Linked DNA regions of Ovis aries. The protein of the gene in region 4 interacts with the protein of the main gene of each other region in a pairwise test. Links are inferred from orthologs where the notes say so. Each region holds a gene or a part of one and is shown on either strand. Other genes may lie near its edges.

The links.
Region 1: the proteins of RBBP8 (region 4) and RBL1 interact in a two-hybrid assay, tested with the Homo sapiens proteins (2 studies listed by BioGRID and IntAct). The link is inferred for Ovis aries from reciprocal best matches to the Homo sapiens genes RBBP8 and RBL1.
Region 2: the proteins of RBBP8 (region 4) and RB1 interact in a two-hybrid assay, tested with the Homo sapiens proteins (2 studies listed by BioGRID). The link is inferred for Ovis aries from reciprocal best matches to the Homo sapiens genes RBBP8 and RB1.
Region 3: the proteins of RBBP8 (region 4) and RBL2 interact in binary tests that used the Homo sapiens proteins (3 or more experiments, as listed by UniProt). The link is inferred for Ovis aries from reciprocal best matches to the Homo sapiens genes RBBP8 and RBL2.

What each region holds. Positions count from the first base shown.
Region 1 is NC_056066.1:66,021,565-66,025,317, forward strand, and holds part of RBL1 (retinoblastoma-like protein 1), read right to left. Parts: intron 1,994-3,753; coding exon 1,727-1,993; intron 662-1,726; coding exon 450-661; intron 1-449. UniProt on the Homo sapiens protein: Key regulator of entry into cell division. Directly involved in heterochromatin formation by maintaining overall chromatin structure and, in particular, that of constitutive heterochromatin by stabilizing histone methylation.
Region 2 is NC_056063.1:18,457,790-18,462,243, reverse strand, and holds the start of RB1 (retinoblastoma-associated protein), read right to left. Parts: upstream 2,895-4,454; 5' UTR 2,693-2,894; coding exon 2,565-2,692; intron 1-2,564. UniProt on the Homo sapiens protein: Tumor suppressor that is a key regulator of the G1/S transition of the cell cycle. The hypophosphorylated form binds transcription regulators of the E2F family, preventing transcription of E2F-responsive genes.
Region 3 is NC_056067.1:21,291,255-21,295,699, reverse strand, and holds the start of RBL2 (retinoblastoma-like protein 2), read right to left. Parts: upstream 3,034-4,445; 5' UTR 2,931-3,033; coding exon 2,691-2,930; intron 1-2,690. UniProt on the Homo sapiens protein: Key regulator of entry into cell division. Directly involved in heterochromatin formation by maintaining overall chromatin structure and, in particular, that of constitutive heterochromatin by stabilizing histone methylation.
Region 4 is NC_056076.1:34,018,512-34,022,942, reverse strand, and holds the start of RBBP8 (DNA endonuclease RBBP8), read left to right. Parts: upstream 1-1,479; 5' UTR 1,480-1,645; intron 1,646-4,431. UniProt on the Homo sapiens protein: Endonuclease that cooperates with the MRE11-RAD50-NBN (MRN) complex in DNA-end resection, the first step of double-strand break (DSB) repair through the homologous recombination (HR) pathway.

The DNA.
Region 1 (3,753 bases), on a different chromosome or scaffold from region 4:
ATGGAATGTTAGCCTTAAAAAGGAAGGAAATTCTGACACATGCAAAAATGTGGATAAACTGTGACAACATTATGCTAAGTAAAATAAGCCCATCATAAAAGGACAAAAAGTGTATAATTTCACTTTTATGAGGTACCTAGAGTAGCTAAAGTCACAGAGACAGAAATTAGAATGATGACTGGGGGTTGAGGGGAGAAATGAGTTACTGTTAATGGGTACAGAATTACAGTTTAGGAAGATGAAAAAGCTCCGGAGATGGACAGTAGTGGAAACTGCACAACAACGTGAATGTACTAATGATACTTAGCTGTACACTTAAAAATGGTTAAAATAGTAAATTTTATGTATATTTTACCACATACAAAAAAAAGGCCAAAGCTGTCCTCTGTTACTCAATCTTTATTGCACTGATTAAAGGAGATCTTTTTAGATGCTATAAAAATACATACCTTTCTATAAAACAGTGCTAAGGACCCAGTTCTCTTTGGTTTGCTTATTCCAACTGGATGTACCTCTTGTGCTTTGGTCAAATGGGTCTGCTTTGGAGAAGCACCAATTAATGACTGAGCTGTAAGTGATACAGGACTCTCAACTTTGGACTCCTGAGTTGTATTCATGGAAATTGGTATCAGTGTGATCTCTCCAGCATCATTTGCAATACCTGAATGTACAAGCAAGAGTTCTTAGTTTTAGAAATGTGTCCCAGAAAAGTTATCAATACTTCTTTCTTCGCTCATTCCTCCCTCCCTCCCTCTTCTTGTTTACTATCTATCTGTGCATAGTAATGGTAGAAGAAGAAAGCCACAAAAATAGTAATTCTAGGTTATAATATTTTTGTTTTCTATTTCTGCTCTGAAACAATAATACTGTTCTCTTTGGTGGTCTAAGGGAGATGTTTTTAACCATTAAACAAAATTCTTGCTCAACGCACTCATTTGTAAAACTCAGGTAAGAAACTAACTCCTAACAGAGTAGTAAATCCATAAAATATGAAAATTCAAAAAACTGTGCAGGTATACCTCAGAGATATTAAGAGTTTGGTTCCAGAGAACCACAATAAAGTGAATATCATAATAAAATGATTCACATGAATTTTTTGGTTTCCAAGGCATATAAAAATTATGCTTTTGCTATACTGCAGTCTATGGGGTGTGTTATGGGCATTATGTTCAAAAAAGTGTATGTACCTCAGTTAAAAAATACTTTGTTGCTAAGAAGATACTAATCATCACCCAGCAACACAAGGTTGCCACAAATCCAATTTGTAGAAAAAAAAGTTATCTGTAAAGTTCAATAAAGCAAAGTGCAATAAAATGAGGAAAGCCTCTATACATTCAAAACAAAACTAAAGGGGGAGTGCTGAGGAGCTTTAGGGCAGTGTTACTATTCTGTATAACAGTATAATGGTAGATATGTGTCATTAGACATTTGCAAAATTCATAGAATGTACAACACCGAGAGTGAACACTAATGTAAACTATGGACTTAAAGTGATAATGATGTGACAATGAAGGTTCATCAGTTGTAATACATGAGCTAGTCTGGTGCAGGATACTGATGGCAAGAAAGACTCAATTTTGCCATGAACCTAAAACTACTCCTAGAGGAAAAAGAGTACAGGTCCGGGAGAAAATACAGGAGTAATAAGACCATGTGATATAATTCAATAAGACATTTCTTAAATTTTTATTCATTTCAAAAAAAAATAAATGCATCAAAATATTACCATGCAATGGGACTGTAACTTTATGTCCTGTTGTCCCTGTTACTATGGCTGTGGCCATTGTTAGAAGACTGTGCCCGGGTGAAATTGATATATTTTCAGCAGTGATGCTTGAAGAAGGAGCAATTTTCAATTTTGTTCCTTCTGTTATGATCCTGTCCATAAGCATTTCCTTTGGGGGGTCTTCCCCAAAAAGTCTTCTCTTAGCACTCCCAGCAGTAGGAGAACTGTAGCGTTCATGGACAGAAATCGGAGACAATGGTTGCATATCTAATAAAGAGAAAAATTTTAACAGTCTGACTTGTATTTCAAACAGACACAATCAGGTTTACTCACTCGTTCAACAGATGCTGAGTTGTGTTACACTGTGTGCTCAATCGCTTCAGTCGTGTCTGACTCTTTGCAACCCTATGGGCTGTAGTCTGCCAGGCTCCGCTATCCATGGGATTTTCCTGGCAAGATTTCTGGAGTGGACTGCCATGCCCTCCTCCAAGGATCTTCCCGACCCAGGGACTGAACCTGCATTTTCTGTGTCTCCTGCACTGCAGGTGGATTCTTTAACAGAGCCAACAGGAAAGCCCTAGATACTGAGTTACTATGCTAAAATAACAGCCTTTGTCCTCATGCAATATCGAATCTAGTGGGAGAGAGAAGAATGAAATAAATCTTAAAATAAAATTACAATAGCTAACCTTCCTGGTTTCTTGAACCTCTGCCTACGTTAAAGAACCAAAATATTATGGGGAAAGTAGAAGCTGAGAGGTAGAATGCAGTGACTGTTAAATTAGAAAAGTAGTCCAACTAACTTCTGTCTCCTCCCGATAAAAAGGAAAAATCAGTGATTTGGTTCACAATTTTCTCTCTTCCCACACATCTACACGTCAAACAGTTTAAGGCAATAGCTTTGGCTTTCTGATTTAGCAGACACAGAACCATCTTTTACAAACCCACTAGAAGATGAATAGAAGTGTTATGACGCTTAATTTGAGGCATTAGCGTGTAACAGACATGTCATCTATTTTCAAAACATGTTTATAAGGTATAAAAATTACCTCTGGCAATAATTTGACAACTCTGTATTTCTGAGGTAACTGGGGAAATAGTTATGGTTTAATAAAAATCTCTTCTTAATTCTGGGGGTTATGAAAGCAGCTCTGACTTGCAGCCTTAGCAAACAAGTGGGAAGTTCTATTGTAGCCCATTACTCCTTAACAGAAGTCTACCTTTATGTCTTATTTCTAAGAAAACCAATGTAGTCCTTGAAGCTAACTAGGAATGTTCAGAGCTGACATTTCAAGGGGGAAAATGCATGTTATAACCACCAAGTTAGCTGCAAACCCCTTGAAATGATTCTTTGCCTAGCACAGTACTGGAAAAGCTTCAGTAGACATTCAATAAAAATTTAGTAACTATACAAATTAATAAACTGTCTTTTCCCCACTAGAGTCAAGGCTCAATATTATTGTTTTCTAAGGATTTTCTATTATTTGATTCTCTTGCATGAACCCCTACAAGAAAATAATTTTCTTCTAATTATAAAAATAATATATTACCTGAATGCTCACATCAGTGATATTCATAAAAGCCAACAGGTAGAAATAACACAAACGCCCATCAGCTAAATTCCTACTTTCTCTTTTGTACTAGGAGTTGAACTTAATCTCACTTCACTGCAAAATCCTACTGCCATATAATAGGGAAGAACCTTTATTATAGGTTAGTCACTAAAGAGATGTTGCCTATAAGCTTAAATTATCCATAATGGCCCATCTCTGGGAACCCTGCCTCTCAGGTAATGCATATTAAGCTCAAAAACCTTTGCTCAGGGCTTCCTAGGTGGCTCAGTATTGAAAGAATCCGCCTGCCAATGAAGGAGACATAAGAGAGGCTGGTTTGATTCCTGGGTCAGGAATATCCCCTGTAGGAGGAAATGGCAACCACTCCAGTATTCTTGCCTGGATAATCCCATGGACAGAGGAGTCTGGAGAGCTACAGTCCACAGGGTCACAAAGAGTTGGACCCAAGTATTA
Region 2 (4,454 bases), on a different chromosome or scaffold from region 4:
TTTTTCAGTCTTTCCAGAATGGTAATACCACACAGTGAAAAATGTTTGCTGGTCTGGTGAATCACATACTTCAGAGCAGCAAAGTAGCTTAAAGTAAGTACAAGAGCTAAAACTGGGAAAGTTGGGTTGGTTAACAGCAAGAGGAAAGCAATAGATAATATTACAAAACCAATTCAATATCATTAACTTTTGCTAAAATGCAGTCTACCCTTCACAGTGTTTTATTTAATCTACTTACTAGTAGTTCTTAGATGATGATTAAATTCAAGCTTTCTTTCTGATTTTCCTTAACCAAGACAGGCAGACAAAAAACTCTTCTTGGCTAATTCTTTTTCAATCAGTTAATGTCTACTTGACCTCTAATAATAATAGTACAAGGAATCGCTAATAATTTTTTAGTATTTATTATGATCCCAGACAAAGTACCTTAGATGAAGGTAGACTGAATCCCCACATCAGCCTATTAGGTAAGTCCTCTTACCCTGTTTTACAGATAAATACCAAATCAGAGAAGTTAAAGCACTCACTTGAAATCACAAACAGTATGTCAGAAACCCTGATAGAAACCCAATAATCTAACTCTATAATCCTTGCCCTTGAGCACTATTCCAGACTGCCAACCCTTCTCTGAAACATAATTAACTTTTGGTTATCTCAAGAATGAAGATGGTGTGCTGTTTCCCTTAAGTAAACTCTCAACTCTCAAAGTAGGCATGGGCTCCATCACTGGAAATGCAATTGGACTGGGCCCTGAACCCACCCCAGGTAAAGTTCTCAGCTTCAGACTGCCAGGCAGTGGTTCTATCTTTGTTAAGTAGTTAACCAGTAGTTTGATAGCCCATAAGGACACATTTTATGGGTAAGGATAGATCAAGAACAGACTTTATCTTGCATGGTTCTGACTTAAAGAATTTGTGATAGTTTCATCATTTAAAGTATATAAAATGAAATGCTGGAAAATAGAAGGAAAAAAGACTTTCTTTTCCCAGGTGCTGGCCAGAACTTCAGTATTTCTGGTTACTCCACAATATTCAAGAATGCTTCCGAGCTCTGTGGATAACACAGGGTTCTTTGCAGTAGACTTCACTGCTCTTACCAAAAGGAAACTGGAAAATACTGGACATATCAGAGTTTAATCAGAAACTAATGTCTTCTCCTAGAACATCCCTGGGCTTTCTTTTTTTTTCCCACTAGTGAGAATGATTTTTAATTGATAAGACAGTCATATATGAATTTCTAATAGCCTTTCACAAGCCATTTCCAAAAGCTTTTCCCAATCTTTAACAATTTGTCCCGAATTCTCTTAGCGCAGGGGAAGGTGAGAGAAATAGGGCCTGCTGATGGGCTAGGACTGTGGGAGGGAGACAGAAAGGAGTCCCATTTCCCTGTAATTGATGTGCAGTCTCAAAGCAGGGCCAACTCTGACAATAATAATGGATAATTATACTCGTTCAATTTTTGGTTCTAACCATAAAGCATCACAATCAAGAAAAATAAGATGTTGCAATACATTATCTTCCTGTCAAAGTTCCACTGCATTATCGTAGACTTGCTTAAAATTTAGAATCCACTTACGAGAAGAAAAATAATTCCACGTGAGCACAAAAACACTCGTTTTGTACTCCAACAAACGAAACAAAACAAAACAAAACAAAAAAAAACAAGGACACCAGGATCCTTGCTGGCTCAAAGCCGAAAGGCAAAATGGAAGAAATAACGAGGCACGCTGAAGCCAACGAAAATACGCAAGAAGAGTTCTAGAAAACAAGAGAAAAGTTCAGGAACTTTTAAGCTCTTGGGCTAAACGTCTCACAATATTTTTGCCCAGGTACGAGTTCTTTCTAAAGAGTTACGTTCCACCAGTCACTACCTATGGCCATGAATCCCCAAGACCGAAAAGCCCCTTCTAAGAGAACGCCACAAGGCGCCTCAGCCGAGCTTCCTGGGGGGTAACCGACACCCAGGACCCTGCCCTTCACGTCCGCGGGCATCTCTGCCGCTGCACCCAAGGCTTTTCTGACTGTCTCTCCCAGGACTGGGCTTCAGATACAGCTGCGCGCCCGGGGGCGGTGGGGGGAGGGGGGCACTTCCAACTGTTGCATCGCTAGAGACCAAAAGAGAAAGTCAAAAGACCACTGGAGGACTACAAATCTCAACGGGGAAAAAAACCTATCCAGCAAACACCAGTTAGTTCTTTTCTTTTTTTCCTCTTTTGCGTGTGATGGGGTCTCGAAACACCCGCCGGATGCGCAGGGCCGTCTCGCGGAGCAAAGGCGGCACCTGTCACTTCGCTCAGCGACCCGAGCCCCACCCGCCCGACACCTGTCAAGCTGGAGCCGAGACCCCCCTCCCGGCCGCCCTTCCCAGGCGGCGCCCGCACCCAGACCCCTGTCAGCTCCCTCCCGGCGCTCCGCCGCGAGGGGTGGTAGAGGGGGGACCGTCCTCCCGCCGGGACCGGCGCCCCGCGGGGACGCGCCCCCGCCTAGACGCCGCGGCTGCCGCCGACGCAGCCTCGGGGCGCCCTCCCCGCTCGCCGCCCGCCGCCGGTGGCTCGGCCCGCTCACCTGGCCAGAGGCAGGTCCTCGGAGCCGCTGTCCTGCTCGGGGTCCTCCTCAGGGGGCGGCGGCGGCGGCGGGGGCTCCGCGGCGGCGGCGGCGGCGGCGGCTGCTCTCCGGGGGGTTTTGGGCGGCATGACGCGCTCGCAGGGCAGGCGCCGGCGGGTGCTGGAGTGGGGCCGGAGAAGGGAGAGGACGCGCGCACCTCGGGCACGCCCCGTCCTCGGCCGACTCCCGTTACAAAAATAATTTGAACGTTCCCCTGAGAAAAAAACCGGGCCGGCCCTCCCCCGCCCGGCAACCGAGCGCCGCGTCCAACCGCGGGAAAACGTCACTTCCGCCCGCGGCGTCACGTCCGCGAGGCTCGCGGGCCCGCCGGCGTCGGGAGGGCACCGGGGTGCTGGGCGAGGCGAGGCGAGGCGCGCGCCGGGCGGGCGGGCAGCCCCGGGCCTGCAACCCAGGCGCCCGCCCGGAGGCAGCGGCCGCCGCCGCCGCCTCAGCCTGCCTCGCCTCGAAACTCGCCCCTGCGGGCGTGGGTGGCCGGGTAAGGGCGCTACCCGGCCCGGTGGGTGCGCGCGGGCTCCCTCGCTATAGCCGGGTGGGTCCGGGGCTGCGGCCGAGGCCCCCGCCGGGGAGTATCGGGCGAGCGCACCCGGGGCGGGCACGCCCCTCTCCTCCGTGGGCGGCGCCCTCCCGCTCGCCCGCGCTCCTCCCGCCCAATCCGTTAAGCGAAGTCAGCCAAAACAAAAACAAACTGCCTCTGGGACACCTATGAGGAGCTGGGTTTTGCCCACTACCAGCGGAGACCAAGTACGGGACGACGAAACTGGCCTTTTGAGAGTTCTTTGAGGGAAGAGGGGTGGGGGCTGCGGGCAAAGAACTGATGACAAGGTGCTGCGCGGTTTTAATAGTAGCGTAAAACCAGGAAGCACCATCGAAACGCCTTAAGGACATCTTCAGAGGAGCAGGGGCATTTGAGTAGAAGTTTGCCAGACGGACTTCACATCTAAGGAGGACTTACTATGTGCACAGGGGATTGTTCTGGCCATTTTATCTCATTATCTTACCGAATCCTCAGAAACAGCCCTTTAAAATGAGTTGTAGTCGTATTACACTTTGGATAGGGAAGACAGGCTCAGAGGAGTTAATTCATTTGCCCAGTACTCCAGTATTCTGGCCTGGAGAATTCCATGGACTGACAGGCTATAGTCCATGGGGTCGCAAAGAATCAGATACGACTGAGTTACTTACACACACACACACACACACACAAACACACACAGCCGATGGGTGGTAGAGGTTTTGAACTGAGATATATGTGACTCTACTTATCCATTAGTGAAGTGAAGTCGCTCAGTCGTGTCCGACTCTTTGCAACCCCATGGACTGTAGCCTACCAGGCTCCTCTGTCCATGGGATTTTCCAGGCAATAGTACTGGAGTGGATTGCCATTTCCTTTTCCAGAGGATCTTCCCAACCCAGGGATCGAACCCAGGGCTCCCGCGTTGTAGACAGACGCTTTACCGTCTGAGCCAATACGTTGTGTTAAAGAAAACACCAAGAAGAGAGAAATAGCATGTGCAAGGCACAAAGACACCAGAAAAGAGTTTGCAGGAATTACTATGGCCAAACATTGACTTAGAAACTGTGTCTCCTGTCTCTTGGTATTTACTTATGCTAATAGATTGCCTAGTTTGAGTATCTGCTTTTGTATCACTGGCAGATGCTGTGGGTTGCCCGCTAGGAGCTTCCCAACTGAGGTGCTATGAATAAAATACAGCTGTGTTCTGACGTGAATTCCCTCATCCTTGGAACAGCTGAGCAGGGCTGAGGCAGCCAATGCCTTCAGGCAAGTGGTAGCTCTTGGGTTTATCCCTGTGGGCCATACAATGGATTATC
Region 3 (4,445 bases), on a different chromosome or scaffold from region 4:
CAAAATTCTGAAAGATATGGGAATACCAGACCACCTGACCTGCCTCTTGAGAAACCTATATGCAGGTCAGGAAGCAACAGTTAGAACTGGACATGGAACAACAGACTGGTTCCAAATAGGAAAAGGAGTACGTCAAGGCTGTATATTGTCACCCTGCTTATTTAACTTATATGCAGAGTACATCATGAGAAACGCTGGCCTGGGAGAAACACAAGCTGGAATCAAGATTGCTGGGAGAAATATCAATAACCTCACATATGCAGATGACACCACCCTTATGGCAGAAAGTGAAGAGGAACTAAAAAGCCTCTTGATCAAAGTCAAAGAGGAGAGTGAAAAAGTTAACTTAAAGCTCAACATTCAGAAAATGAAGATCATGGCATCTGGTCCCAATCACTTCATGGGAGATAGATGGGGAAACAGTGGAAACAGTGGCAGACTTTATTTTGGGGGCTCCAAAATCACTGCAGATGGTGACTGCAGCCATGAAGTTAAAAGATGCTTACTCCTTGGAAGGAAAGTTATGACCAACCTACAGCATATTGAAAAGCAGAGACATTACTTTGCCAACAAAGGTCCGTCTAGTCAAGGCTATGGTTTTTCCTATGGTCATGTATGGATGTGAGAATTGGACTGTGAAGAAAGCTGAGTGCCGAAGAATTGATGCTTTTGAACTGTGGCGTTGGAGAAGACTCTTGAGAGTCCCTTGGACTGCAAGGAGATCCAACCAGTCCATTCTAAAGGAGATCAGTCCTGGGTGTTCATTGGAAGGAATGATGCTAAAGCTGAAACTCCAGTACTTTGGCCACCTCATGCAAAGAGTTGACTCATCGGAAAAAGACTGGTGCTGGGTGGGATTGGGGGGCAGGAGGGGAAGGGGACAACAGAGGATGAGATGGCTGGATGGCATCACTGACTCGATGGACGTGAGTCTGAGTGAACTCCGGGAGTTGGTGACGGACAGGGAAGCCTGGCGTGCTGCGATTCATGGGGTCGCAAAGAGTCGGACACGACTGAGCGACTGAACTGAACTGAACCATCTATTATTTGTCACTTGTTTATATAACCCCGGGCTTCCTATGACTTAACCACTGTGAGTTAAACATAAAAAGTGTATAATTATGCTTTTTCTATTTAATTTACAAGGTTACCCTGAGGGTAAAATAAGAGCTTATTTGGAGGCACTTATGCCCATCACCAAAAATAGTCCTTCTCTTTTGTCACAGGAACCACTAGGAAATAAACAATAACATGAGTGAACTCCGGAGTTGGTGATGGACAGGGAGGCCTGGCATGCTGCGATTGATGGGGTCGCAAAGAGTCGGACACAACTGAGTGACTGAACAGAACTGAACTGACCTGACCTATTCAGTCATATCACCTAAGCATGTGAAAGAGCTTTGTAAATTCTAAAGCAGTCTCCATGAATGCTTTACGCTCCAGAAATTCCACATTACCTTACTTAACCTTCAGAACAGCTGTGTAAAGTAGGTACACATACCTCAAATTGACATATCACAAAACTGAGTTTGGAGTGGTTAAGTAAATTGCCCGAAGTCACCAAGGCCTGTCAGGTTCTAAAGCCAGTACATATCTAGCTACCCTCCCCCACTCTAGATGTAACTAAATTAAAATTATATTAATGCAAGAATAAGAAATAATAGGAATAAATTTAGTGAGTGCCACACAGGCAAAAACACCGTATTACAGTTAAAACACATCTGTTAGCCTTCCCATTCTGAGCCTATTTGCCCTACTCTTTCCACAAACTATTAAACAACTTCAGAAAATCATATGGCTTGCAGTTTAAATATCACTCCCATGGGGCAGTTAGACAGCGGATAAACAATACACACTTCCGTGTCACTTCCCATTGGCCCGTAAAGGGGAGGTGCCTACAGAGTTGAACCTCACTGGCTAGAATGGCCATTTTTCTTAATTGCAAGCCCCGTCCGAAGAAAGGGACAAAACATGTCCAGATGACAGCGACTCTTAAGAATCCTGTGCAGTGTCTGGGGTGACCAATAAGTCCTCAAGATCGCCGCAGTCCTGACTTCCTAGAGACAGATAAGAGTCTATATCCAGGTAGGCAGAAAGCCCGTTTCATCCGCTCACGGGAAGATTCTTCTTTGTTTACAAATACACAAACACAGCCCGAAACGTAATGCATTTACTCAAATGGCAATGCCTGGACCAAAGGCAATTAGGTACAGCTTGCAAAGAACTTGAGGAGAAGCCTGGAAACGCAGACGCTAAAATCGGGTTAATTTCAGTGCTAGCGCAGGCAAGCCCCACACCCCCATCCCTTTTGAGTACGGTCCTGACAACTGCACCTGTTCAGTCTGCCAACCAGATGGCTGTATTTTTGTAATCAGACCCCAGCACGACCTCAGCCTCGAGGTGCTAATTCAGGGCAAAGGCTGTTCCCCCTTCGGAACCGGAGAGGGAAGAGCACCGAGACAGGGTTCACTTTTAGGACAGCTAAGGGCTTTTCAAAAGCCAGGTTTCCAGGACGAAAGTGGGCAGAAAGGACTCCCTTCCCGCTCCAGGCTGGGGACCGGGAGAGCCGGGGCTGACCTGGGGAGCTCCCCCGCGGGGCTCCCGAGCCGGAGAGAGAAGGGCCCCCATCCCCCGCGGCGGGGCGGGACCGCTAGGCCCCGAAAACCGCTGGTCTCCTTTCCCCGGCGCACCTCCAGCGTGTAGCTCTCGCTCATGCTCCGGTAGCTCTCCCAGGCCTCGGCCCGCGCCGCCTCGTCCATGTTCAGGCGGCTGCACAGCTCGTCAAACCGCTGCTGGGTCTGAGGGGCCGGCGACCGGGCCGGCTGCGCGGCGTCCTCCGCCTCGCCATCGTCCTCCTCCTCCTCATCTGAGGCCGCCGCCGCCGGAGGGGGAGGCGGGGGCGGCGGCGACTGGTCGCCTCCCGACGGCATAGCGTACACCTGTGCGGCAGGTCCTCAGGTGAGCCGAGGGCCCGGGCCCACAGCCATTCAAACCGCGAAGCGCCCGCCGGTCGGCCGCCCTCTCGGCGACTGCGCCGCCGCCAACGGCGCTGGACCTCAAGCCGGCACCCGTAGTTCGGAGCACGGCCTGGTGGGAGATGTAGTCCAGGCCGGAGACCCACGGGGATCAAAAATCATATTTAAAAAAAGTCATCTCGCGTCCTCTCCCTTGGCCTGAGGTAAAACCGGCTTCTCTGCATTTCAAGTACCTCTTCATCGGGAGACCCATTCAGCAGGATTGTACTGAAGAGAAAGTATCTAAGAAACGTTGACACGTGAAGGTTTAGTGTTCAAAGTGTCCTCAGAAATAATACTTACCACCTGCGTGTCCTAATCTGAAAAACCAAGGTAATAGAAAGGGCCTGTCTGCCTAAATTCAAATTTTGGCATCACTCTTACAAATTCTAGTTCTTTCCTATATTTATTTTTTGTCCGAGCTGCAGTGGTTTGTGATATCTTATTTCCCCGGTCAGGGATTCAACCAGCGCCCCTTTCAATGGAAGCAGAGTCCTAACCAGTTGACCGCCAGGGAATTCTCCTTTTCTGTGTTTTAATTTTATGTGAGACTTTCAAAAAATTGATTGATTTTTTTAAAGGAGTAATTAATTTTCCCCCCATAGGGTGAATTTACATTTACCCCTAAGTGACATATTTGTTCTGTTCTCAAAACTTCATTTTTCTTTGCTTTCTCTTCAAATCTATATGAATCACATTATTTCCAGTCCGCTTTGGTTTATACAGGAGTATAGTATTAATAAGTAGGAGTATTATTTTGCAACAAAAGTCCATCTAGTCAAAGCTATTTCCAGTAGTCATGTATGGATTTGAGATTTGGACCGTAAAGAAAGCTGAGCACCGAAGAACTGACGCTTTTGAACTGTGGTGTTGGAGAAGACTCTTGAGAGTCTGTTGGACTGCAAGGAGATCAAACCAGTCAATCCTAAAAGAAATCAACCCTGAATTTTCATTGGAAGGACTGATGTTGAAGATGAAGTTCCCATACTTTGGCTATCTGATGAGAAGGGATGACTCATTGGAAAAGATCCTGATACTGGGAAAGATTGAAGGCAGGAGAAGAAGGGGACAACAGAGGATGAGATGGTTGGATGGCATCACTGACTCAATGGACATGAGTTTGAGTAAGCTCCAGGAGTTGGTGGTGGACAGGGAGGCCTGGCATGCTGCAGTCCATGGGGTCACAAAGAGTCAGACATGACTGAGCGAATGAACTGAACTGATAGTATAAAACGTTTTCCTGCTCCAGGAGCCCAAGGCACTGCTGTTTTGCTATGAGGTCACTTTTCTCTCTCTTCATTTGACCCTTTGAACACAGCCACCTTACTGCAAGGAAGCCCAGGTCACTTAGGGTAGCCTATTATCAAAGATAGATTAAAGCCATAGACATCAGTGAAAACGATGAAAACATTTTATCCCATCACTCCTGAC
Region 4 (4,431 bases):
CTCATATGATCTCCCTTAATACAAACCAATTTCTGTCAAAATGTGATCTTGTGTACAAATGAACTTAATTACAAAATAGAAACAGACTCAGAACAAACTAACAGTTACCAGGGTGGAAGACTGAGGGGATAGGATAGCTAGGGACTTTGGGATGGACATGTACACTTTGCAGTATTTAAAATGGATAACTAACAAAGACCTACTGTACAGCGCAGGGAAATCTGCTTAACATTCTATGGCAGCTTGGATGGGAGGGGAGTTTGGGGGAGAATGGATACATGTATATGTATAGCTGAGTCACACTGCTGTCCACCTGAAACTATCACATTGTTGATTGGTTATGTTGTTATTGTTTAGTCACTAAGTTGTGTCTGATTCTTTGTGACCCCATGGACTGTAGCCTGCCAGGCTCCTCTGTCCGTGAAATTTTCCTGGCAAGAATATTAGAATTGATTGCCGTTTCCTTTTCTAGGGATCTTCCTGACCCAGGGATTGAATCCGCATCTCCTGCATTGCAAGCAGATTTACCACTGAGCCACTGGGGAAGCCCATGAAAAGTTAAAACAACTTGTGATCTTGGAAGTGATGTTGCTTACTTCCTCCCCCCAAAGGACCAACAGACAAGCTTCACTGGGAACCTGGACATTTTCCCCATCTCTTACCAAATTTGTCCTTTTTCGCCATTGTAACCCTGGACCTGGCACAGTCTGGCACATAGTAGTTATCAAGAATTTGCATTCCACTGTTGACTATCCAAAGAAAATCCTCTCTAAGTTGTCCCAGTACATAGAACAGGAGTTTTTCCAACTTTAGACTGGAATGGTATGAGGCTCTTTGAGTACAAGGAAGGTAACACCCCAAGCAAATGTTGGGTCCACCCACAGCTTGTTTTCCTCCCTCTAGAAATGCTTCCTTCAAACTCTCAGGGCCACTGCCCTCGTGGGGAATACAAACACCCCCTCAAGGCTGAGCTAGACCAAGTGGACCGGTGGAAAGGCCAGGCATTATGGATTCTTCTTCACTGTAATCTCTTTCTAGAGGCTTTAGTCCGAAGAGCCTTGAAGTAAATTTTAAAAAAGGATTACCTACCTCTGAGGATGAGATATACTCAAGTTATCTACAATGAGAGGTTTGTAACAATGGACTCTTGCTGTACCTGACACAGATCTTCCCCTCCCACTGGGACTCTGAATTATTTTGCTGCAGGCTACAACATTCTGAGCAGTATGTTGGGAGTTGACGGGAGGTGGGGATAACTCACCTGTATGAGCTTAGCAGAGCTGAGCCGCTGCAGCTTGTTGGGCTAGCCTTTGATGCAGACTGGTTGGACAGGTTCTGGATCTACAGAAGAACCGGTCTGACTGGCCTGTTGTGCCAACATATTCTGGTTTGATTCCATGTTCCACAGACGGCAGAAACCTGCCCAGCCAGTTAAATGAAAGGCAGATTAGGTTATCCATTGCACACCTTATATAGCTTAGATGCAGCAGAACTCTTCCACACAGCAGTGGTGTCTAGCAGACTCTAGCATGGTCCAGAGAGGTGTCTCCCACTGATTACTGTGTAAGTTCATAGCTTCAGGGAAAGTCCGCAGTGAAACACCTGCTTTTGACCAAGAGCAGAAGTTTTCTAAATAAATTGAAGGGTAAGTTAATATATTTTTTTATCTTTCTCAATTTTCTATGTACTTTTAGAAGGTTAAGAAATTAAGTTTAAGATGATATCTTTTTAACATGGCAATACCTGCATTGCCTCTTTTATATAAATTTGCTTAAATGTTGTTTTATAGTACTTGCATACATATATTTTCATTGATTTGTTTGAATAAAGATTACTTGGCATATAATATACTTTTCTATACTTTTTTGGTAAGTCATGCATGGCTATGGTCATTAAGAAAACTGGGTTGAATAATTTTGCTAAATATATTTCACCTATTAATGTAATGATTCATCTTAAGCCATCTACTCCTTTGATAATATACTATTATGTTTTACAGGCTGTTGCTATATGGTAACATTTTATATGGCAAATCTAATTGTGGATAAAATAATGACTGCCTTTTTAAGGCATTAAAAAAAAAAACAGTGTTATTCTTCTTGGTGATCCTCAGCACATTAAAAGAACAATTCACAGCAAGTGAGGAGTGCGAAAAACAAAGACTGTGGAATCTGGTAACTGATTAACTATTGGAGCTCAAAAGCACTTGCTGAGCTGAATAGAAAGGAATGAAGACAGGTTTTGTCATGTCTATTAGGTCTGAAAACCTTTTTAGGTTAAAGAATATTTAGATCTTCTTTTAGTTTATATTTTAAAATAATTATTTTACCTCTCTTTTTCATTGATCCAATTAATTTATCTTAGTAATTTGTGTTATTTAAAATGAAAGTTACCAATCCCTTTAGATTTATGTTGGCATACCAACCTACTCCTTAGTTATTAGTATTAGATTGAACTGAATGCACACATCTTCTGGGCAATTTAATATAACAGCTGAAATATGAACTTTATTGTAGAATTAAAAATTACTTTAAAAAATAGATTTAAATACTTTCCTCTCAAAGACTATCTGCAGATCATCATATGACTCACTTTGAACTGAGCAAGACTGATGCATTCTTTTCACTGTCCCTTTAGAGTCTTCACTTTGTCATTATTTTCAAATTCAAAGGCTTTAAGAGTTTCCTCAAGATGATACTAAAGAATTTTTTTTTTAAGTGAGTAAATGTTCAGATGAGATTCAGTTTTTGCAGGGAAACCTTTTAGATGCTTGCCTACTCCAAGGCAATTCTGCATAAAGCTTCTGATATTCAGCTGAATTTATAAAAAGCTATGTAATGTTGAATCTGCAAAAGGAATGTGCTGATTCAGCAAAGCAAAAAATTAATTTTATTCAGCATAAACTATAGTATGACAATTTTTGAAGAAAATATGGATCAAAAATTTCAGTTGATTGAATTTTTCTCTTTAAAATTAGTTTTCAGGCTAAATATAGATATATGTCAATAGCGTATACTTACACTGTTTCTGGTAAATACCTAGTAACTTAAAATTTTTAAATCTTACTATATTTATAATACAGAGCTTATTCTTTAAAGATAAACGTGATTTGGGATTCCACCTTATTTACTAGGTATTTTTTATGTTTATGGTTTTGAGGAAAGCTATTTAGGAAGTAGATATATATTTCATACAAAATTTGTGGGTAAAATTTCAAGTCTAATGCTACATTTTGGAGAGGGAGTCTTCAGTTTTCACTTAATGAAATTTTTAGTTTCAAATCTATGATTTCCTATTAAATATGACTTTTATATATTTTCCATAAATTGATTCCTTTAAAATATTGATACATTGTGATAACTTTGATTAAAATTAAGGATATACAGATTTATCAATCAAATTAGGAATCTGTGTATGCATCTATATTTTATATAGCCCTGCATTATCTGAGGTCCTAGGTCAAAAACTGTTCTAGTCATTTAATAACCTTTTTACTCTCTAAGTCTAGCTGGGGATGCATTTCTTTATCTTTACTGCTGGCCACACAATTTCACACAATGACTCTTCTTGTCAACCATGCTAGCTTTCTTAACACCTATAACCTTCTTCTTTCCTGAATGTATTCATGGGTTTCCTATCAAAAGCGCTTAGAATCATGACATTTCTGAGCTAGAAGGACTCTTTAAGAATAACTGATGAATTCACTTTTTAGTTGAATGAAAAGCCCCAAAATGTAGCTGAATAACATAGTCTAAGGGTAGAGGTGGTACTAGACCATCCCAGCTTCCTGATACCAGCCCAGACTAATATTTTTTCAGCACTCTACAATGATTCTTCTGAATACTACATAAAATCTACTCTGTGTTCTAAAAGATTCATAAAAAGGTAAAATTGTATAAATTATGTTAAGGAGTATCTGCTGAACCAAGAAACTCTTTGCTTTTGTATTTTAATCTATTTAATTACTGCCCCTGAACTTTTTTGGTATAGTAGTCAAATTTATGGGATTGCCATTGGTAAGCAAGATGACTACCTCTTCAAACCCTAATCTCATAAGACCAACACAAAATGTTGTATCAAACTGATGAGTATCTCATATTACTCCATCTTTATCCAGATTATTTGTGGATAGTGCTGTCATTTTTTAACTTATTATTACTTTATACTGTTTCAACTGTTTATTTTCTTAGTATGTGTATAAGTATATATGTATTTTTGTATTGTTTTAGTCACTCTTACATGGATACAGTTTAGGATTTGCCTAAGAAGGTTGTACTTCTAAAATTTGGTTAGAACTGACAAAAACATTCCAAAAAGTATATGAAGCCCAGGATTACAGGACTCAAAACCCATCTTAAAGGTGAGAGAACCTGTTATATAAAGGGCGATATCTTAATACAGCACTTTGTACACAAGCACTCAAAAATGCTT